6 linked regions of the Sus scrofa genome follow. The protein of the gene in region 3 purifies or fractionates together with the protein of the main gene of each other region. This does not show direct contact. Links are inferred from orthologs where the notes say so. Each region holds a gene or a part of one and is shown on either strand. Other genes may lie near its edges.

The links.
Region 1: the proteins of MAD2L1 (region 3) and ANAPC4 purify together in Homo sapiens (affinity purification with western blotting; 14 studies listed by BioGRID and IntAct, with this or other methods). This does not show direct contact. The link is inferred for Sus scrofa from reciprocal best matches to the Homo sapiens genes MAD2L1 and ANAPC4.
Region 2: the proteins of MAD2L1 (region 3) and ANAPC1 purify together in Homo sapiens (affinity purification with mass spectrometry; 3 studies listed by BioGRID and IntAct, with this or other methods). This does not show direct contact. The link is inferred for Sus scrofa from reciprocal best matches to the Homo sapiens genes MAD2L1 and ANAPC1.
Region 4: the proteins of MAD2L1 (region 3) and KIF20A purify together in Homo sapiens (affinity purification with mass spectrometry; 4 studies listed by BioGRID and IntAct, with this or other methods). This does not show direct contact. The link is inferred for Sus scrofa from reciprocal best matches to the Homo sapiens genes MAD2L1 and KIF20A.
Region 5: the proteins of MAD2L1 (region 3) and ANAPC7 purify together in Homo sapiens (affinity purification with mass spectrometry; 3 studies listed by BioGRID and IntAct, with this or other methods). This does not show direct contact. The link is inferred for Sus scrofa from reciprocal best matches to the Homo sapiens genes MAD2L1 and ANAPC7.
Region 6: the proteins of MAD2L1 (region 3) and RNF8 purify together in Homo sapiens (co-immunoprecipitation; 3 studies listed by BioGRID and IntAct, with this or other methods). This does not show direct contact. The link is inferred for Sus scrofa from reciprocal best matches to the Homo sapiens genes MAD2L1 and RNF8.

The regions. Positions count from the first base shown.
Region 1 is NC_010450.4:19,339,253-19,341,963, forward strand, and holds the end of ANAPC4 (anaphase-promoting complex subunit 4), read left to right. Parts: intron 1-78; coding exon 79-202; intron 203-549; coding exon 550-777; 3' UTR 778-2,211; downstream 2,212-2,711. UniProt on the Homo sapiens protein: Component of the anaphase promoting complex/cyclosome (APC/C), a cell cycle-regulated E3 ubiquitin ligase that controls progression through mitosis and the G1 phase of the cell cycle.
Region 2 is NC_010445.4:44,574,461-44,577,960, forward strand, and holds part of ANAPC1 (anaphase-promoting complex subunit 1), read left to right. Parts: intron 1-1,384; coding exon 1,385-1,461; intron 1,462-1,975; coding exon 1,976-2,066; intron 2,067-2,162; coding exon 2,163-2,216; intron 2,217-3,141; coding exon 3,142-3,335; intron 3,336-3,500. UniProt on the Homo sapiens protein: Component of the anaphase promoting complex/cyclosome (APC/C), a cell cycle-regulated E3 ubiquitin ligase that controls progression through mitosis and the G1 phase of the cell cycle.
Region 3 is NC_010450.4:103,926,018-103,930,157, forward strand, and holds the start of MAD2L1 (mitotic spindle assembly checkpoint protein MAD2A), read left to right. Parts: upstream 1-1,340; 5' UTR 1,341-1,552; coding exon 1,553-1,625; intron 1,626-2,378; coding exon 2,379-2,525; intron 2,526-4,140. UniProt on the Homo sapiens protein: Component of the spindle-assembly checkpoint that prevents the onset of anaphase until all chromosomes are properly aligned at the metaphase plate.
Region 4 is NC_010444.4:140,200,902-140,205,115, reverse strand, and holds the start of KIF20A (kinesin-like protein KIF20A), read right to left. Parts: upstream 2,801-4,214; 5' UTR 2,675-2,800; intron 2,205-2,674; 5' UTR 2,184-2,204; coding exon 2,019-2,183; intron 448-2,018; coding exon 358-447; intron 260-357; coding exon 140-259; intron 1-139. UniProt on the Homo sapiens protein: Mitotic kinesin required for chromosome passenger complex (CPC)-mediated cytokinesis. Following phosphorylation by PLK1, involved in recruitment of PLK1 to the central spindle. Interacts with guanosine triphosphate (GTP)-bound forms of RAB6A and RAB6B.
Region 5 is NC_010456.5:31,765,751-31,769,250, reverse strand, and holds part of ANAPC7 (anaphase-promoting complex subunit 7), read left to right. Parts: intron 1-1,277; coding exon 1,278-1,502; intron 1,503-2,729; coding exon 2,730-2,880; intron 2,881-3,500. UniProt on the Homo sapiens protein: Component of the anaphase promoting complex/cyclosome (APC/C), a cell cycle-regulated E3 ubiquitin ligase that controls progression through mitosis and the G1 phase of the cell cycle.
Region 6 is NC_010449.5:32,948,812-32,952,311, forward strand, and holds part of RNF8 (E3 ubiquitin-protein ligase RNF8), read left to right. Parts: coding exon of another isoform or gene 1-8; intron 9-1,725; coding exon 1,726-2,466; intron 2,467-3,500. UniProt on the Homo sapiens protein: E3 ubiquitin-protein ligase that plays a key role in DNA damage signaling via 2 distinct roles: by mediating the 'Lys-63'-linked ubiquitination of histones H2A and H2AX and promoting the recruitment of DNA repair proteins at double-strand breaks (DSBs) sites, and by catalyzing 'Lys-48'-linked ubiquitination to remove target proteins from DNA damage sites.

The sequences.
Region 1 (2,711 bases), about 85 Mb from region 3:
TCAAACCCTGATACCCCCTCTGGTAAACCAGGGGGAAGAGCCCCATTTCACTCTGGGGCTGGTTTCTTCCCTGTCTAGGCTGGATGAGCAGCGGAGTGCTATTCCCACCCGGACCATGCATTTCGAGAAGCACTGGAGGTTACTGGAAAGTATGAAAGCCCAGTACGTTGCTGGGAATGGTTTTCGAAAAGTGTCCTGTGTGGTGAGTGTTTAACAAAGGAAGGGACTTGGGACTGTGGAGGCTTCTCAGTGCAAACATTTTGCGATGTAAAGCTTTTGATTATGAGCCCATAGTGGCCTTAGCTGTTCAGTTCTCTTGTTCTGAGAAAGCTCACTAAGTAACTAACACATTGAGATTTTAATTATCATGAAATTTTCACTGTATGTGGAGATCCTTTTATATGAAATGAAAGCTGGGTTAGTGATTTTGTTGTAAATTGATGGGAAAATAACTTTCCCACAAAACCGCTCTTTATTCAGATTTCTGATTATATATAATGTATTAGTTAAGCCATTAAATTTTCTTTCTTAATTTGGCCTTTTCTTTAGTTAAGCTCAAATCTCCGTCATGTGAGAGTGTTTGAAATGGACATAGATGATGAATGGGAGCTGGATGAGTCTTCAGACGAAGAGGAGGAGGCCAGTAACAAGCCCATAAAAATAAAGGAAGAAGTGTTATCTGAGTCGGAAGCAGAGAACCAGCAGGCCAGTGCTGCTGCTTTAGCTTCAGAGACGGTCATTAAAGTAGAAAAACTTGACCCTGAGCTAGACTCCTGATGTTCAGAAAGGACATAGACGATGGACCAAGATGACCACTACTTAACTTTTTTGTGTGAAATAAAAACAGTAAATTTTTATTTTACTTTTATTCTGCTTCATCTTCTCTTAGTGATGTACCACCATGATAAGACTTTCTTTTTGCTGAGACTTCTTCTTAATGTTGTGTGCAGAACTAGTGTCTGTCACAGGACCTGTGACAGAAGCACATTAATATTTCGATAATATTAGAGCAGAAAATCACATTTGAACTCGTAGGAATACTTGGATCAGAAATTCTCAGTCGTTGAAGGGTTAGTGCTAAGAATGAATCGTGTATGTGGTGGGCAATCAGTGTGTTTCACGTTTTGAGTGAACTTGGGCAGGATTTCCCATGAAGCACATACACCACCACATCAAAATCACCTGGGCCAGAGATTAAAAATGCAAATACATGGGTGTTACCACAGGCCCATTTAGAATGTGATGACTGGGCCCAGGCCTGCTTTTTTTTCTTTTTTTTTTTTAGAGTGGCACCTATGGGATATGGAGGTTCCCAGGCTAGGAGTCGAATCGGAGCTATAGCCGCTGGCCTACACTACAGCCACAGCAACACAGGATCCGAGCCGCATCCACAACCTACATCACAGCTCATGGCAATGCCAGATCCTTAAGCCACTGAGCGAGGCTAGGGATCGAACCTGAGTCCTCATGGATGCTTGTCAGATTCGTTTCTGCTGAGCCACAATAGCAACTCCCAGGCCTGGAGTATTATTATTATTTTTAATAAACTCACCTGATCTTGTGCCCACCAAGGTTGAGAACCATTATTTTCCGCAGAAGCTATTTTTAGTAATTAGGTATTCATTATTTTTTAGTTGTAAGTCTGCTCCCTTAGATGCATTGAAAATTGATAGATTTTTTTCTTTAAAAATAACCCTAGTAGGAGTTCTCTTGTGGCACAGTGGGTTAAGGCCTTGTCACTGCAGCAGTTCTGGTCACTGATGTGGCACTCGATCCCTAGCCCGGGAACTTACACACGCCTCCAATGCAGAAACAAACAAAAACCTAACTGGTGGTGAATTTCACCTGCAAGGTGCCCACACGTCCATAAATCTGCTTCGATGATTGATGGTGGGCCTAATGGTGCCCCAACTCTTTGTGCACTGAGGGTGTAGGCCACCTTTCAGCCCTAGGAAGGTCATGTTCAGTGGGCGATGCTGAGTTGGGTCTGTGTGGGCCTCGTGTTTTGGTACATAGTCCATTTCCAGTCATAAATGTCCCCTTTCTCCAGGTGTGTGCAGTCAGACGGAACTCAAAGTGCCCCTAGACATGTAGTGTGCTGTGTGGTTACTGCTGTACTGACAGTAAAACTGTCCCATGTGTGACTAAATGACACCGTGTGTACCAGCCTGATGGATGTTTTAAGTAATAAAATTAGGAGATACATTTGTAGCTCCTGCCTCCTGCCTCCAGCTTCCAGTTTCTCCTATCCCCAACCAGACTGAATTCCTGATTCCTGTTGCAGAGGGAACGTTATTATTTTAAAATATATTTTCCCACTCTTCAGATGGTAACACCGGCTATTTAGGAGCCCAGCTAGATGGGTGGCTGGTTGCTATAAACTACACCACGTGTGATTGTCAACATTTTAAGTGATGCTGCAAAACTTTCTAACATAACATCTCGCCCTTTTTCCTTTCCAACACTTTTGTCCTGCCCAATTGTTGCAGGAAGACATGTGAAAGATTTAAAATTAAAACAAAAAAGTTCGGTCTGCTCTCTTGAGATGTCACGTCTGGGGCCATTGTGCTGGCTGCCGTTTCCTCCCTGCTGGACAGAGTGGCCCACGTGGCCGGGGAGACCCTGTGACTGGTTTAATGGAAGCCCAGTCAGGGGGCAGTTACCCAGGTCAGATGCTGCCAAGCAGTGGGGAAGGGAGTGGTGAGAATTGG
Region 2 (3,500 bases), on a different chromosome or scaffold from region 3:
TGATTTGATGATTTGCAGTACATAAGAAGATTTTATCATAAGCATCTTCTGAATACTTATTGGTTTATTATAGAAAGCATCCTGATGCTTTCTGAACAGTCTTCTAAAAAGAATTATAGGAATAGGAGTTCCTCTTGTGGCTCAGTGGGTCGGGAACCTGACATAGTGTCCATAAGGATGCGGGTTTGATCCCTGGCCTCCCTCAGTGGGCGAAGGATCTGGTGTTGCTGCAAGCTGTCGTGTGGGTCACGCATATGGCTTGGATCCCACATTGCAATGGGTGTGGCATGGGCTAGCAGCTGTAGCTCTGGTTGGAACACTAACCTGGGAGCTCCCAGGTGCTGCAGGTGTGGCTGTTTAAAAAAAAAAGAAAATATAGGAATAAATATTAAAAGTTTTACTTCTGTGTACTTATATGCATACGTTTAGAAAATATATACCTTTATCTTTTTTGGGGGGGAGGGGTTCTGTAACTGCAGCATATGGAAGTTCCCAGGGGTCAAATCAGAGCTTCAGCTGCTGGCCTATGCCACAGCCATAGCCACGTGGGATCCAAGCTGCATCTTGGACTTCCACCCCCGCTCGCAGCAACGCCATATCTGTAACACACTGAGCAAGGCCAGGGAGCGAACCCGCGTCCTCATGGATCCTAGTCGGGTTCGTTACCACTGAGTCACGATGGGAACTCCACCTTTTTTTTAATTTGTATTTTTTAAGTGAAGTGAATCAAGTAAGTTCTTGTTTGTTAAAGCTAGATAATCTGTGTTTTTTAAAAAACATTCTTATTCACTACCTATGCTGAAAGGGAAGTGTTTGTAAACCCTAGTTATAGATTAACGTAGATGGTTTAGTTTAGCTTGGGTAGTGAATCTAGTAACAAACTTCACCTTTGGTAGGTAGGTAGGCTTAATACTAGAAGCCTACCTTCTAGTAGCCACATCTGCAACCTACACCACAGCTCACGGCAATGGCCATATCCTTAACCCTCTGAGCGAGGCCAGTGATCAAACCCACAACCTCATGGTTGCTAGTCAGATTCGTTTCTGTGGCACCACGACGGGAACTCCTGTGGTCATCATCTTTTTATTTTAGTTGACTGGTGTGAAATATTATTACTCTGTTATTGATTCAGAATGTACTAAAGTCCGCCAGTTTATATTCATTTATATTCATTTAGTCCTGTTATTTGGCCCATCTTAGATTTGAAATTGGATTTCATTCAATGAGAAATGTGATTGCATTCAATATAGGCCTCTGAATGAAATGGTTTGATAAAGCTTATTTTATGTAAATAAAGCCATAATAAGCAGTATGTATTCTTCAAATTATTAAATACCTGTAACTTGAATTTAATGTCCACATGTTCTTGTTTTTATCTTGACAGATTATAAGAGAAAATAGTATCTCTCTCAGTGAAATTGAGTTGCCTTGCTCAGAGGATTTGAATTTGGAAACTTTGTCGTAAGTCATGAATTGTATAATACAGACTAGCTACTCTAGCACCTGTCAGATAAATGAATTGAAATATACTGTATAGGAGTAATACTGTTTTGGTTTGAGTGATTCTGAATCTGCCACGTTTCTAACCATTGTTTATCTGATGTTCACAAGTTTGATTTTTTAGCTTTCTAAAGTGTAGAGTTTATATCCTCAAAAAACAATGCTGGAGATTTTAATTTGTGTTAAATTGCTCTTTTATCCTTCCTGTTTAAAAAAAATGGCAGTGATTGTTAGAAATTATATTTTGCTGCATATGAAACAGTGCAGGCAAGAGGCACACTCTCACAGCCAAATAGATGATGCTTCTGCTGAAGAACAGTAGACAGAAATGTGTTGATTGAGCAGAGGCACAATTGAGCGTTCCCAGAAGGATAGAGAACAGGAATATTTATTATTTTTACCCCCAAATAATAGTAATAATAAATTTTAAAGCAAAACAGGGACAATATTTAAATTTCTTGTGGTCTGTTTCCAGGCAAGCGCATGTCTACATAATTGCAGGAGCTTGTTTGTCTCTGGGTTTTCGATTCGCTGGCTCAGAAAACTTATCGGCATTTAACTGTTTGGTAAGAAATATCTTCATTTACTCTGTTCTATTTTATTTTTTACAGAGCCTTAGTATGCTTCTTTTAACCTTAAATTTTTTTCTTTTGTTTTTCCAGCATAAATTTGCAAAAGATTTTATGACTTATTTGTCTGCACCTAATGCTTCTGTAGTAAGTCTTTTTATGATGATTCTCCTTGGGAATAAAATTAAACTTGAAGAAAACTCACTGATAATTCAATCACTTCTGTGTTGCCTTACTCCATTCTCAGTACTGAATGCTGGTAATTGCTTTTTGAAAAGATTAGTTCTTAGTCAAAATGCAATTGCTTTTGAGGATTACTGCTCTGATGATAGTAAGACTGCAGATTTATTTCCTGGCCCCAAAAAAAAAAAACCCAACCCCACACAGATTTAGTCAACATTATTTATAATATTAGAAAATTGGAAACATAAAAAGTCCTAAAGGTAATCAAAAAATGAACTATGGTATATTTACATTGTTGTATAGAGGAGCTATATCAAAATCAGGTTCTGTAAGAATTTTTTGAGTGGAGATTGCTTATAATAGATTCGAAAGCTTAAAAATATTGTAGTAATATCTGTTTCATTAAAAAAAGAAAAAAGATATTGGAAAAGATATGGAGAAAAAAGAAAGCCAGATGTGTATAGCTGTTAGTATTCCAAGTGATTCTTATTTCCTTTTTGATGCTTTCTCTTCTGAATTTTTGACACTGAACTTAAATTCCATCATCTGGGAAAATATTTGTTTTTTCAGGTTTTTAAAAGTTGTAAACATTTGTAGTCTAATGATGGCCGATTGAGTTTTGATAAAAGAAAATGCAGGGCTTCCCCCTGGGGCGCAATGGGATCAGAAGCATCTCTGCAGTGCTGGACCGCAGGTTTGATCCCTAGCCTGGCACGGTGGGTTAACCATCCGGTCGGTATTAGACTGCAGCTGCAGCTCGGATCTGATCTCTGGCCTGGGACCTCACTATGCCTAGTGGTGGCCAAAAAAATTAAAAAAAAAAAAAAAAAAAAAGAAAGAAAGAAAATGTTGCACCAGGGTTGTAGTATGTTACCTTTCTCGTCTCTAGACAGGTCCTTACAATCTGGAGACTTGCCTCAGTGCGGTGCTGCTGTCTCTGGCCATGGTGATGGCTGGCTCGGGGAACTTGAAGGTTTTGCAGCTTTGTCGCTTCTTGCACATGAAAACAGGTGGTGAAATGAACTATGGTTTCCATTTAGCCCATCACATGGCCCTTGGACTTCTGTTTTTGGGAGGAGGAAGGTAAATGAATGTGTGTGTGTGTGTGTGTGTGTGTGTGTGTGTGTGTGTGTGTGTATTTTTTTTTCCCCTCTCAGTGAAAAGGATCTCATGAGCAAGATGTCTAAGAGCGACTTATGCTGCAGGTGCAGCCAAAAATAAAACTGAAGAAGTTGTTTCCAGTTTTAA
Region 3 (4,140 bases):
CTGTTTCAGTCTTTAAACTGATCAAGTTTTGATATATAACACTGAATAGGCAGAGTTCTAAGGGCGTCCTCAAAATTTGTGGCCTCCAGGGAGCCTATCCTATAGAATCCCTCCACTTTAGTGTGGCCAGAGTAGTGATTATTAGGAGTTATCACTTTGAGGATTAAGTTCATCAAAGAGGAAATTATCTGACTGGGTCTGACCTAATCACTTGAGCCTTTAAAAGGGACCTCCCAGAAGTCAGAGACTGGAAGCCTGAGATTTATGGAAGGGCTACCTGGCAAAAGCACAAGACTGGCCTCTGCCAACAGCTGGCAAGCCAGTGAGGACATCAGTCCAAGAACAAGGATATTAAGTCTACCAAGAACCAAGGGCCTCAGAAGAGGACCCCTGATTTTAGGTAAGATCCCACTTGCAGACAAATACCCTTATTTCAAACTTGTGAAGACTACAGTAGAGAACTCACCTATGCCACGCCATGCTCCTGACTGAAGGACTGATAATAAATGGGTGTTGTTTTAAGCCACTCATTTGTGGTAATTTATTATGCAGCAATAGAAAACTAATACACTCAGGCATTTTTTCATACAATTAAATAACATTATGTAAGGTGGTTAAGTTTTTCAGATTTCATTTTACATTTTTTCTACCCACTTTAAGAATAAACTTGTTTCAAAACAACTGACATGCACATTAGTTGCGCGCTATCTCTTTAGTACTTCTCATCCTAACAATAAAATTCAAAATTCACGGAAAAGTTCTTCAGTGTTGAAAGGCCTTTTTGGTGAAGTGACCTTACTCCTGACCAGTCGCCGAAGGATGGCGGGGTGCAGAGTGCAAGCTGGACCATCAGAGACAGCCTCAGGCTGCCCCCAGACTGAGCCTAGCAGAGGGTCGGGGTGAGGAGTAGACGTGAGCTTTGCCCAGAACAGACAAGGGAAAGAAGAATGGACGCAGTTCATCCCTTTAATCCCTAAACCAATTTCTCAGGAAAAGCCGCGCGCCCACAAGTAATCAGGGTCTCTAATAAAACTGTGGTGCGCACGCAGTAGCTTTAGAAACTCCCAAAGCATCTGAGGAGTTCCGCCCGCCCACTAAGAATCACTGGGGCTACTTAAGGTACAGCTAGCAGACAGATCGGAGCATTTTCAAAATATCTTTCAAACTCAGGAGTTGTGCTCCTTACCCCTTCTGCCTGAAGACTCAAGGCGCGGCCACTAAAACCGCGATATACCGTCTTTGCCGCAAGCCCCCAGCTAGCCAACCAACTACCGCAGGAGTTCCACAAGGAACCCACCGCGACGCAACGACTCAACAGCGTGAGCACGTCCACCCACTGCGCAGGCGCGAAGAGCGGCTACGCGAGGAAGGAGAAAACAAGCCAGACCCCGTGGTGTAAGGGCGGGGCCTAAAGGCTCGTTGCGCCTGCGCGAAAGAGTCGACGGCGTCCTGCGTCGTTACTTTTGAAACCGGTGGCGGGGAACTACTCTGGAAGTCACTGGTGTGGCTGGTTGCCGCGTGAAAGCGCGTCTCTTCATCCGTGGGCCTGGCCATGGCGCTGCAGCTCTCCCGGGAGCAAGGCATTACCCTGCGCGGGAGCGCCGAAATCGTGGCGGAGTTCTTCTGTAAGTCCTTCTCGCGCAGGCCGGAGAGCGGGGAGAACTGTGCCCAGGCCGCCAAGTAGGCCCGCGGCTCGGTACGGTGGCGGGGAGAACCCATTGGGTCAGAGCGGACGCGAATCCGAGCCCTCTCAGTCTCAGCGTACTGCCAGGCAGGAGGGATCTGGAAGAGGCGGATGCAGGCGCCTCTTCCGGATGCGTTGCTAATGGTGGAGGAGGCGGCCTAGGTTCTGCTGAGGCCTGCCTGGCGATATAACCGCTTAGCCGGGAGCAAACCCCATACCCACCCCGAGGTGAATCAGGATTGACGGTAATGGGCTAGACTTGGGGAGGCGTTCTTCTGGACCAGGCCAGTTGCACCTTCTGATAGAACCTGGCAGGACTTGTGAGAAGAAAAGGAGGAAAAAAAGGAGAGGATTGCCTGGGCGTTGGACGACTCAGTTGCTTCTTTTGACATCCTCTAACCATAAAGTCTGAATTTAGAATTGTTTTACAATGAAATGAAATTTGGCACTGGTAGATAAATGCAGTTTGCCATGTTTCTTTTATTGCCACTTAAATGCAGATACCACTTTTTTGTTTAGAAGCAAAATTTTAAAGCTTTTTAATTTCACTTTGTACCTTTGAGCAAAACACAAACGCGTGTTTAAACATTTACAGCTTTACACCATTAATGAAACCATAGCCACATGACTAAATATGTTTTATTTCTCAGAATTACAAAATGAAAATGACTTTTAACATTTCTTTTGTTTTCAGCGTTTGGCATCAACAGCATTTTATATCAGCGTGGCATATATCCATCTGAAACCTTTACTCGAGTACAGAAATACGGACTTACCTTGCTTGTAACTACTGATCCTGAGCTCATAAAATACCTAAATAATGTGGTGGAACAACTAAAAGGTATTTCATTGTTGGAAACAGTTTTGAGTTTTGCCAGCATTCTAGGATCCATTTTCTAGCAGCTTGCTGGTCATTTTTCATCTGTATACCTGGTGGTGTAAAACACACTACCATCTCAAATATAGTGAAATAACTGGGAGGAAGAAAATAAATCAAAAAGAAGTCCCATCTTTACCCCATTTTGAGTGGGCTGAATATTTTCATGTTAGGAACGCGATACGGCTTAATGAAACAATTCCCATCAACTCCTTTAGAAATGAGTGTTGCAGTTTATGTGACCAAATGGAACATGTTGGAATTTTACATAATTATATTGGTGTTCATTATCTGAGAAAAATCCACTATATATATATTTGTAGCTGCATGGAGTCTAAAGCCATCATTAAGATGAAGGAAGCAAAACTGAATTCAACCTGGGGACTAAACTTTAAAAAGAACAACTACCAAATAACAGAGCACCATTAGAATTTTCTTACTTTTCACCTGTTTCCATTGTCTTGTCTTAAATCCTACATGTGAGTCTGAATACTTATTTTTTCCTTTTAGCTCAAGAAGTGTCAGTATTGTTTAATTAATACTTGTTCTCCATCTATTCCTCTTCTTTCTTCTAAAATTTCTAGTTTCTCTTTCATGTTTGTCTCCACCTAGGGTTCTCATTTCTAATTTTTCTGTGTTGTAGGATATTTTTCCATATCCACACATTGATCTTCCAAAGTTCTAAAAAACACTACAGCCCTCATCTTTATTTATTTTTTTTTTAAGTTTTTACTGAGGTATAGTTGATTTACAATGTTGTAATAATTTCTGCTGTACAACACAGTGATTCAGTTATACATGTATACACATGCATTCTTCTTCAGATTTCTTTCCCATGTAGCCCATCACAGACTGTTTGGTGGAGTTCCCTGTACTATACAGCAGGTCCCTATTGGGCAAGCATTCCATATACCTCAGTGTGCATATGCCAATCCCAAATCAATCCCCCACCCCATCCCTCTTCCCCCACTTCTCCCCTTTGGTTACCATAAGTTTTTCAAAGTCTCTGTTCTGCAAATAACTTCATTTGTATTTTTTTTTTTTTTTTAAGATTCCACATTAAGTGCTATCATGTTTGTCTTTCACTAACTTCACTTAGTATGATAATCTCTAGGTCCATCCATGTTGCTGCAAATGGCATTATTTCATTCTTTTTTATGGCTGAGTAATATTCCATTGTATATATGTACCACATCTTCTTTATCCATTCCTCTGTCAGTGGACATTTATGTTGCTTCCATGTTTTTAATTTTAAATGAATCTTTTTTGTTTCAAGCAGCTTGATTTTTTTAACTCAATGAATTTTATTACATTTATAGTTGTACAACAATCATCACAACCCAATTTTACAGCATTTCCATCCCAAACCCCCAGCCCATCCCCCAACCCCCAACGTGTCTTCTTGGAAACCGTAAGTTTTTGAAAGTCTGAGTCAGTATCTCTTCCGCAAAGAAGTTCACTGTATCCTTTTTTTAGATTCCCCATATAAGTGATAGCATATGACATTGGTGTCTCACTGTCTTACAAACTTCACCTAGTATGATAGTTTCTAGGTCCATCCATGTTGCTGCAAATGCCA
Region 4 (4,214 bases), on a different chromosome or scaffold from region 3:
AACACATTACAAAGGTCCCCAAGCTGTAGACATGTATATATAAGAAACTCACAGTTAAGAAGAAAGCTTTACCCTCTAAAGAGGGAATAAAGTTGCCTCTACATGGTGGTGCCCTGTTCACATATCAGTATCTCTATACCTGGGAAAAGGTGAATCTGTGTGTTGCTTGTCCAATCCCTCTCTCGTTGCTCTTCTGGGCAAAAGAGTCCTTGGGTGCCTGTAGAGCAAGGGTCTCCATATTCTCAATACGGACACAACCCTAAGAAGAGGGAAAACTGTCACCGAAGGAAAACATTCCTGGGAGCCTCTACTGTATTGCAGCATTCCACTTTTAATCCTCCCTCCTCAGAAACTCACCTGATCCTCCTGTCGTTCTAACTCTGAAGGTAAAAAGGGCCTGACCCTCAGGTATACTTTGACTTTCTCCATGCTTCCTTCAGATGGAACCTGTGACAGAATTCCAGGCCAGAACCACAGATTAATCTCAGCAGTTACTTCTGAGCAGATGGGCAAATATAAAATAGTTTCTGGAGTTCCCGTTGTGGCTCAGTGGTTGATGAACCTGACTAGTATCCAGGAGGATGAGGGTTCAATCCCTGGCCTCGCTAAGTGGGTTAAGGATCTGGTGTTGCCATGAGCTGTGGTGTAGGTCAAAGACATAGCTCGGATCCCACATTGCTGTGGCTGTGGTGTAGGCCGGCAGCTGCAGCTCCAATTGGACCCCTAGCCTGGGAACCTCTATATGCTGCAGGTGTGGCCCTGGAAAGACAAAAGACAAAAAAATAATAGAAGTAAAATAAAATAGTTCCTGGAAATCATGTTAACACTACCATATTCCACCTCTAATGACTGTGTGCAGCTACTCAGGTTCCATAATCACTCCAACCCACATGGACTTTTTCACTACTTAATCATCTTTCTTGTCGTTTTAGAATCCTGAAAGCCTGGCTTACCACAGATTATCTGGGTTAGAACTTTCTGAATGGCATGAAAATTAGTGTGTGATATTATGGCAAAACATAGTAGTTAAGCACCTTAGAGGCAGACACACCTGAATTTCAGTCCCAATTCCATCATTAAGAAACCATGAGATCTTTTTTTTTCGGCCACCCATTGGATTCCTGGGCCAGGGATCCAATCAGAGCTGGAGTTGCAACCTATGCCACAGCTGCAGCATGGCTGGATCCTTCACCCACTGTGTCTGTGCCGGGGCGGGGACCAAACCTGAATTGCTGCCACTGCAAAGACACCATTGATCCTGTTGTGCCACAGCGGGAACTCCTGAGATCTTGAACAAGTTCTTTAAGTTTTCTTTACCTCAGTTCCCTCATCTGTAGAATGGGGTTAATAATAGCACCCACCAAGTTCATTCAACAGATATTTAGAGATCAGAGATCTCTCTACTCCGGTGCAGGAAATCTTATAGGATCCAGTAGTTCACAGTGAAGGACATTAACAAAGGCCCTGCTCTCATAAAACTTCTACAAGAGATGTCTGAGTAGAGCTGTTCTTAACCATGACATTTAGTAATGCCAGAACAAATTTCCTGGATGTCCTGGGAAGGAGCTACTGACATCTAGTGGGTAGAGACCAAGAATGCCGCTTAACATTTTACACTGCACAGAACTGCCCCCTATAACAAAGAATCATCTGGCCCCAGGCATCAAGAATGCTGCAGCTGAGACATCTCAGCAGAAAGCAAGCCCCCTTTTAAGTGCAAGCTATGGGTTCATATTAAAGCCTGAATATGTCTGGACTTCATGGTGAAGGAGATCTAACTACTGCCTTCTCTCATAGGATTAACTGAGTATGCATTTGAGAATGTTTCATTACGGCAATGCAGTTAATAGATTTCTTAGAGACACACAATTGTACATTTTTTACTTGTCTTGTCCTTAATTTTCAGTTGATCTCTCAAACCCTAAGAATGCAGGGTTTTGACCTCCTGCTACTTTGTAGGGATAACTAGTATGCTGAGGATATGACTTTCTGCCCCCAAGCCAATTCAACTCCTTTACCTGCTGCTTGTCGTCCAGGGAGGTGGAGATGACAGAGCAGTCTGACAGCAGTTCCTTGCGCACCACAGACCCCAAATCTGCAGCAGTGGACTCAAACATGGGGGAGACTACGACTTCCTCATCCGACAACAAGCCGGCTGGTGGAGAGAGGATCCCTTGCGACATGTTAGCAGGGGAAGCCTAGATCTAAAGAGAGACAAAAGTGGGTAGGGAGGAGAACCTTATGGGATAAAAAGGGCTGCAAATTCTGAGTAAGAACCAATTCCTAGGCCCCAAGACAACTTGGTCTCACTGGCTGAATTCCTGCTCCTCTTTCCCTTCAACTACTAGCAAAGAGAAAGGAAATGAGAGAGAGAGTTAATCATTTAATCCAGTCTGAGGCGGCATTTCCGACCGCGAACAGGAATGAGCAGACACCCAGCTCCAAAAGCAGAAGGCCACACTCCAAGTACGGTGTCTTGCTCTCCGGTGTCGTGGAGGTGGTGTCAGTAGCCCTGGGCTCCTTCAGTCTCTCCCCCAGGCCCACAGTGAGGACAGAGGTATTAAAAAAAAAAAAAAAAAAAAAAAGGATGGCGGCAGTTCTTCTTTCTGAAAGCCTAATTCGCGAGGGCAAGAGCAGGTACCGCAGCTGGGCTCCAGTAGAGCCTCATACTCACCGAAGACACCGCACGTCTCCTCCGGTACCGGCTCACTCACACCCCGCGACGGAACCTGAACCTTCGCAGCTAGACAGCACAACCCCGCCCACGAGGCTCACCTTTGTTACTGATACAATGTTTTAAATTACGCGCTGCGTTCGTTGAGCCAATCAGATAGCGAAACCTGAACCTACCAATCAGCGCAAGGGGACAGACGAGACTGGGAAACGGCTTATTCCGGCCTGACCGCTCTGCTCAAAAGTGGGTCCGGGTTACCAACTGTCGAGGCTTGGTGTTGGGTGATCCTGCAATTCCGCCTTATTACTTTTTCTTGAACCCTGAGGCATCAGCTGCCGTGTTTTGTTCTTTATCACATTCCTTCCCAGGAACGCACAAGAGACCCGGTTTAGGGCACTTGTTCTTCCTGGGGTGGGGTGGGGGACTACATTTCCCAGGAAGCACCGCAACCAAACACCGGGACTCTATTTCCCAGAGTTCTTTTTCTTATACTTTCTTTTTTTAAGGCGTAGCGGACGCTGACGCTCTTCCCTCAGGAGTTGGAGACTTCCGAGCCAAAATGGCGGCAGGGACGGGCAGTAAGTATTTGCACCGCCTTTGTGTGGTAAGTCTTTGTAGAGCCGAGGCCAGGCAACAGCATAGAGAGTAGGAGCAGTGATTTGCCTGAGAGCCCAGGGAGGGCACGAGACTTGAACTCGACGGTGTAGTGAAGCCCAACGGCCGGGGGCCTAGAAGTGTAGTCTTCTCAGTAAGGCCGCCGAGGTTTGAGATAAGCAGCTCAGCGAAATCTTTGTATGTTGGGGAGCTCTGCGGGGTGAGCTGAAAAGGTGCCCTACAGACGGACCGAGACGTTGTGCGCCTTAAGGAGTGGCCGGCATCCCAAAGAGTCATTCAGTTTCTGACGAACGTTTATGAGGCCACTAGTCACAGAGAAATGGGGAGTTTTAACCGCGAGCTTTTTCTGCCACTGGGGAAATCACATTTCGGGCATCTCAGTCATTTATCTCTGTTTCACGGACTGAATATGGCTTTTAGGCCCGGCCAGGGGAAAGGGGAGCGGTGTTACTGAAAGAAGTAAACAACTTTATGCTAAGAAGGAGGCGGGACGGAGGGGAGGTGGCCGCTCGGAATCCTGGGAAATAAGCCCTTAGGTCCAAATTGGAATAAAGCGTTTTTTAAAATTGAGTCTTTCGGGGAGCTGCCCTATCTTAATCTGACATTACTTTTTTTTTTTTTAAACTAAACCATTGTGCCCATGGCATTTGAAGGCAAAACATTTTATTTCTTCAAATACCATAGGCACACTGTTTTAGTTAGGTTATTTACTAGAAAGGTGAAGAATCAAGATTTGGTGATAGTAGCTCACGTTGTCCTTATAGGTTGGGATGTTTAGGCTTTTAGTCTTCTCTTTGAGGCTTAGAACTAGTGTCTCAGTGGTTTTCTATAAGTCTTCTCTACTTTCAGAACATAAGCTGCTGAGTACTGGCCCTACAGAGCCATGGTCCATCCGAGAGAAGCTGTGTTTAGCGTCTTCAGTCAT
Region 5 (3,500 bases), on a different chromosome or scaffold from region 3:
GTCCTCTGGTGCTTCTTGCAGCCTCCAGCAGAGCTTCCTTTACTGGTGGGAGCTCTGGATTAGCGAAGTATGGTTTTAACATTTCCCTTTGAACTTCCAGTGTGGCTTTAGCAGGAAAGGAAAGCTATTCAGTGAGAAGTTGCAAACAGCCATATTCCGAATCCAACATGTTGCCCTTAAGAGGTAATTTCTTGTTAAGTAACTGTAGTGTATGATAGAGTGTGCACAAACATTATAAATGCCGCTAGGGTGGAGGAATATGCAGAGAAAATCTGCCGGGGAGGAGTTCCCATCGTGGTGCAGTGGAAACTAATCCGATGAGGTTGTGGGTTCGATCTCTGGCCTCGCTCAGTGGGTTAAGGATCCAGCGTTGCTGTGAGCTCTGATGTAGGTCGCAGACACGGCTTGGATCCTGCGTTGCTGTGGCGTAGGCCACAGCTGTAGCTCCCATTAGACCCCTAGCCTAGGAACCTCCGTATGCTGCAGGTGTGGCCCTAAAAAAACAGACCAGGAAAAAAAAAATCTGCCACTGTGTGAGTTTGGAGTTTAAGCTGTTTTTCTGTGAGTACTTTGTCCCAGAAAGTATTTCCTCTGTTCTTCATTTCTTGGCATGAAGAGTTGAGAGTTGACCTCTACTTGAAGTGTCCCCTTGGAGCATCTTGCTTTGGTTATGGAAAGAGGCAGGAGCTGCCGATCTTGGTGTATTTTGGTCCGTCTAATTAAGCCCTTTCCATCTAGTTTAAGGAAGCTCTCAGCAAATGCCTTTTGAGATAACTTTTATGTTTCCAGTGAAACACAAAAAGTCTTCCTTTCTCTGTAGGTTGCTCCCTGGGTACTTAAGGAGCCCTCCCCCTTAAATGTAGGGCTAAAAGTGACTGAGCTCACCTGGAAATTAACAGCTTGTTAGGAGGCAGCAAAACCTTGGGTTTTGCTAGAAACCTCATCTTACACAGTTTCAATTAATGAGTAGTGTCACATTTATTACTCTTTCAGCTGTGCTGCCAACATGCTTTGGTTTATTTTATGCATGTTTGTTTCCTTCGCTAACTGAAGGTGCCTTTACACGGCAGGCTTTTTCCACATCCATCAAGTCCTCTGGGAAAGAGCACTTCTTAGCTCTTCTATCAGCATACCCTCTGGTCTAATCTCACCATTAGAGATTTCTCCTGGCCTGCTTTTTGTTTGAAACTATGAAAGTTTGCAATTTGAAAGGCTGTCAGGGTGGAATCGTGTCTTGGAATGGTAATGTGGTTGAAATTTCTGTTATATTTTTTCAGGTCTCATCGAATGTTACTTAGCCTCCAACAGTATTCGAGAAGCAATGGTAATGGCTAACAATGTTTACAAAACTCTAGGAGCAAATGCACAGACCCTTACCCTTTTAGCCACCGTTTGTCTTGAAGACCCAGTGACACAGGAGAAAGCCAAAACTTTATTAGATAAAGCCCTGACCCAAAGACCGGATTACATTAAGGCTGTGGTGAAAAAAGCAGAACTACTTAGTAAGTGTATCTTGTTTACTTCCCTGTAACTCATTAATTGTGTAAAACCTGATTTCAGTTGGGATTCCCTAGTCCCAGCTGGTTACAGATGATCAAACAGGTACTGCTTTTGCAGTAGGTCTGGGCCCCTGTGCATTGGTTTATATTTAGCTTAGACCTTGAATTGGCAGGGACTGACTTTTGTGGAGTGGCTCAAACCAGCTATACTTTGGCTAGTACCTGTTCACCTCACTTTGTCCTCAACTAATTTGGGCCAAATATAACTGGTCATAGCCAGTTTGAACTATTTTGACCTATTTTGGTTCCCTTATAATTTCCCTTTTAGCCTTGGTTTTCTAAGTCCTGATTTATGATGAACTGAGTTTGGGCTAGTTTGGCTAATAAAATACATTTTGACTCTTTCTTTGAACTTTGTTAAGGATAAATTTTTAAAAATCAGAACTCTGGAGTTCCTGTCATAGCACAGTGGTAATGAACGTAATATCCATGAGGCCTTGGCTTCATTCCCCAGCCTTGATCAGTGGGTTAAGGATCCGGGATTGTTGTGAGTCTGTGTGTAGGTCACAGATGCAGCTCAGATCCCTCTTTGCTGTGGCTGTGGTGTAGGCTGGCAGCTACAGCTTCTATTCAGCCCCTAGCGTGGCAACTTCTATATACCGTGGGTACAGCCCTAAAAAGACTGACTAAATAAATAAATAATAAATAAATAAAAATCAGAACTCAAACTGCACATTTCCTAATGGATTAGGTATTCAAATGTGCTCATTCTCACTCCCTGCCACGCTACTGTTCTCTTGACATCTATAAATAGGGATCTCAGATCTGTCACAATCTGATGTCAGAATTTCATTATTGTTGTGGTGGGTTTTTTTTTTTTTTTTTTTTTTTTTTGTCTTTTTGCCTTTTCTTGAGCCACTCCTGCGGCATATGGAGGTTCCCAGGCTAGGGGGCTAATCGGAGCTGTAGCCACTGGCCTATGCCAGAGCCATAGCAACATGGGATCCGAGCCGCGTCTGCGACCTACACCACAGCTCACGACAACACCAGATCCTTAACACACTGAGGGAGGCCAGGGATTGAACCTGCAACCTCATGGTTCCTAGTCAGATTCGTTAACCACTGAGCCACAATGGGAACTCCTGTTGTGGTTTTACATATATGACTTGCAATGGGAATATATTTCGAAACATTGTGTAAGTAGGAAAATAAGGGTCTTTTTCTTTTCAGGCAGAGAACAGAAATATGAAGATGGAATTGCTTTGTTGAGGAATGCACTAGCTAATCAGAGTGACTGTGTCCTGCATCGGATCCTAGGAGATTTCCTTGTAGCTGTCAATGAGTATCAGGAAGCAATGGACCAGTATAGTATAGCACTAAGGTAGGCACTTAGCCTCCCCGGGGGGAAGGTTGATGAGGGGTAGAGGAGGCAGGGAACAATGTAACAGGAGTTCTGCAAATACACTTTGTATCCACAGTTGAAAACAGAGTAATAATAGTATGGTAGAAGAGTTGTTTGTGAATTTATGACTTCTGAAAATTTTTTCTTAAGGTATACTAACAACATTAAAGAACTATTTCACTCATAACCAGCCACACCACTATAACATCTGTTTTCATTTGTGTAGATCATCTTCCTGGCCTTGCCAACGCATATACATATTTTTATAGGGTTATATGTAGTATATATTTTATATTCTGCTTTTTCAAATCAAAGTATTGTGAGTACTTTCCCATGTTTCTACCTACTGTAGTAGTTAAGAACTTAAGCTCTGAAGAATACTACCTTTACTATCTGTTATCTTGGACAAGTTACTAACAAATTTCCTTGTCTATATCTACCTTATTAGGTATTAAATAAGGATTAAATGATTATTCCATGTAAAGCTCTTAGCAAGCACTGTGCCTGGTACATAGTAAATACTAAATAAATAGTGGTATTCTTACTGCTTAATACAGAAGTGATTTCTTTGAGGGTTGTCTGTGTGTCTATAAAGTTAT
Region 6 (3,500 bases), on a different chromosome or scaffold from region 3:
GTTGGCAGGTAAGCCAGGTTAGGTCCAAAGCAGGGAGTTAAAGCCAGTCTTTCTGTGTATTTCTATGCTTGTCTTTCTCTCCCTCTCCTCACTTGAGCCAAATAGCATAGAACCAGAAACAAGGGCCTAATACCAAACCAGAGCTGAGATGGCATCTCTTACTCCCCTGTACCTCTGTGCCTTGTAGTCCAGCTCCCTGTCCTTCATATTTGGGTTAACTGTTAACTGTTTTGTCTAGGTTAGAGTAGATGGCTCTTGTTACTGACATAAACATATTAGCCCTTCGTCCCAGTCAGATGTGACCTCACCTCTGGCCTGTCCCCCCACATTAAGTCCTTGATATGGGTTAAAACACCCACTTGTCTCTTTAGACTTTAAATCCTGCCTTTCTTTCAAGTCTGTTTTAGGACCTGTGTCCCCATTGAGCATCTCTTCGCTCACCCTGCTCTACATGATATTCCTTTGCATTTATGGGCTGTGCTGTGTAATCCCACATTTGCTTAAATAAGCCCTTGTGTTTTCCCTTCCACAGTCAGCTGCTCAAAGTTGTTTTCATATCTTTTGCTTTTGTGCTCAGTATATTTACCTTGCAAGATGCTGAGCATGGAATTGAAGTGATTGTTGATAAATCAGTTGAACCAGAACACAGTAAGAGAAGCAAACACTTAGATAATGCTTACCATGTGCCGGGTACTTTTCTAAGTACATTGCATATGTTATCTCATTAAATCCACACAAACACCATGAAGAAGAGACTATTATATCTTCCATTTTATAGATGTGGAAACTGGCGCCTAGAGAGGTTAAGAAACTTGCCCAAATCATGCAGCAGTTAAGTGATGGAGCAGATTACACACCCAGACAGTCCTGTCCTGGGGTCCATGCTCTTAACTCCTACACTGCTTTTTAATTTAAACCACAGAAGTCCATATGGAGTATTCATTACATGTGAGTCACTCTGCTAAGTGTTTTATATGTATTAGCTCTGTCATTCCTCACAGGAGAAGTATGAGGCAGAAACTGTATACTATCCCCATTTTACGGACAAAACTGAGGTACAGAGAGATTAAGGAAATTGTCCAGGCCCATGCGACTAAGCCCAAGGTGGTGCATTTGGGCTGGAAACCCAAATTTGTCTGAGTCCAGGTCTTAACCACTATGCCCATAGATCTATTAATTGGATCATATCCCCTGTGCAATTTGACCCCAGCACAAGGTACTGGTGCTTTCTTTTTTGGTGTGTATATCCTGGGAAGGGTTTTCTCATTCACCAATGTATTCAGGGGCCGCATCCAGAGAGAGTACTTGCATGACTTTCTTGGCCAAGTGTACCTTTGGAACCTCATTGTTAGACACTGCTTCCATCACTAATAGCAGCTTTTCCAGTCTTGGGCCATTGCCTCTAGTTTAGGCCAATAGGAGCTATTCAGTTTTGCTTTCTTTTAATCCGGCTGCATTTGTTTGAATAATTTATCCACCAGTAACAAGGAGATCCCTGCCTATTAGACAGGCAGTTGTCTGGAGGTGTGAACATCACAGAGGTAAAAAGCCAGAGCGCTATTTAAAAAATGCTGTTTGTAAGGATGGCGGTTTATGAACCTTTGTTTCTATTTGTTCTTAAGGGGTTTCCTTGAAAAGACAGAAGGTTTTGCAGCAGCAAGAGAGAAATTCTATTAGAGGAGGAAAATCATGAAGCTTATGTTATCTTTTTTTCCCTTTCCCCAGAGTCTGAATGGTGTTTGGCTGAACAGAGAACGTCTAGAACCTTTAAAGGTCTATTCTATCCATGAGGGAGACCACATCCAGCTTGGGGTGCCTCTGGAAAATAAGGAGAATGCGGAGTATGAATATGAAGTTACCGAAGACGACTGGGAGAGGGTTTATCCTTGTCTGTCCCTAAAGAGTGACCAAATGATGGAAAAGAATAAGGGCTTGAGAACTAAAAGGAAGTTTAATTTGGATGAGTTAGAGGGTTCTGGAGCTGAAGGCCCCTCAACTTTGAAATCCAAAATAAGTAAAGTGTCTTGTGAACCTGGTCAACCAGTGAAGTCACATGAGAAAGGTAAAGTGGCTGGTCAGCTCAATGAATATTTGGATCCTAAGTTGACTTGTCTTCAGCCAAGTGGGAAGGCCCTGGGGGCTCATGTTTATCCAGTCCCTGCAAAAGTCGTAGAGCTTCAGCACAGGAAGCAGAAAGCCTCAAACCCTTCAGCATCTCAGAGCAGCTTAGAGCTGTTTAAGGTCACCATGTCCAGGATTCTAAAGCTGAAAACACAGATGCAGGAAAAACAGATCGCTGTTCTGAATGTGAAAAAACAAACCCAAAAGGGAAACTCAAAGAAAATTGTGAAAATGGAGCAGGAACTGCACGATTTACAGTCCCAGCTGTGTGCAGAGCAGGCCCAGCAGCAGGCCAGAGTGGAGCAGCTGGAGAAGACTTTCCAGGAAGAGCAGCAGCACCTGCAGGTACCACACAGCAGGGAAGGACAGAGGGCCCTTTGGGGGTGGGCAGGCCTCTGTGAGCTTCTGGCCAGAGTTCTCTGTTTCTGCATCGGGGACCAATTGCTGAGTGCCAGGGACAGGAGATGTAATGGGAAGAGAAAATGTTGAAGTTCAGCACGATGATCCGATCAAGAGCCAGATGGGGTAAGATGACTGGGTTCCAGGGTGGGGTAAGGTGACCGGCAGAGCCAGCCAGGATGTAACAGGATGTAAACCTGAGGCATCTCAGAACTGAGGTAAATTCTGAGCAAGGTTGGATGAAAGTCAGTCTGCCCCAGACTACAGCACACCCAGGTCAAAGCAGTAGTTGTCTTTGTGGGTGGTCTTGCTCTGCTCTGTGGTCAGAGCAAATCCCTGCACCCAAGGCTGGTTACTCTGTCCTTGATTTCCCTTGCAGTCTAGGTGGTGGGAGGCTAGAAAGGCAGAAAATGTTTGTTTCTGTCCCGAGTAGCCAGCATAGGAGGGGACGGACGGGTACACTGGGACTCGGTTGTTGAGTGATAAGCCACCTTCCATAGGGCCTTTGGTAGATAAAGTAATGACTATCTTAGTTGTGTCAAAGTGAGAGCAATTGTGTCCACACCCCCAGTTCATCTGTTTAGATGACAGGCTCTTGCACAGAGCTTCTAGACTAAGGCTGATCCTGGTCCCTGCTCCAAATGTCAGTTCCCATCTGGCAAAATCCACACGTTTTACTCCCACCGACTTGCTCAGGTAATACTAAATGTCAAGAATTCCCCATTGTTGACTTAGAACTAAGAAGGGCCAATCAGGATTGAAGTGAATAAGCCTTTATCTTTTGTTTACCTTGCTCAGGGTAAGAAACAACCAGTTGTGTTGGCTTATTTCTGAAGAATTTATAGATTTCATTCTAATCTCTGCTATCCCCTTGAACTGGTGATCTTAGCAAAGACCATGAATTAAATGGATCTAAGGGTATACAGTTTTTGCTTACATGTCCCTTTTTGCTGCCCCTATCCAGCCTGGACTAGTTCTTG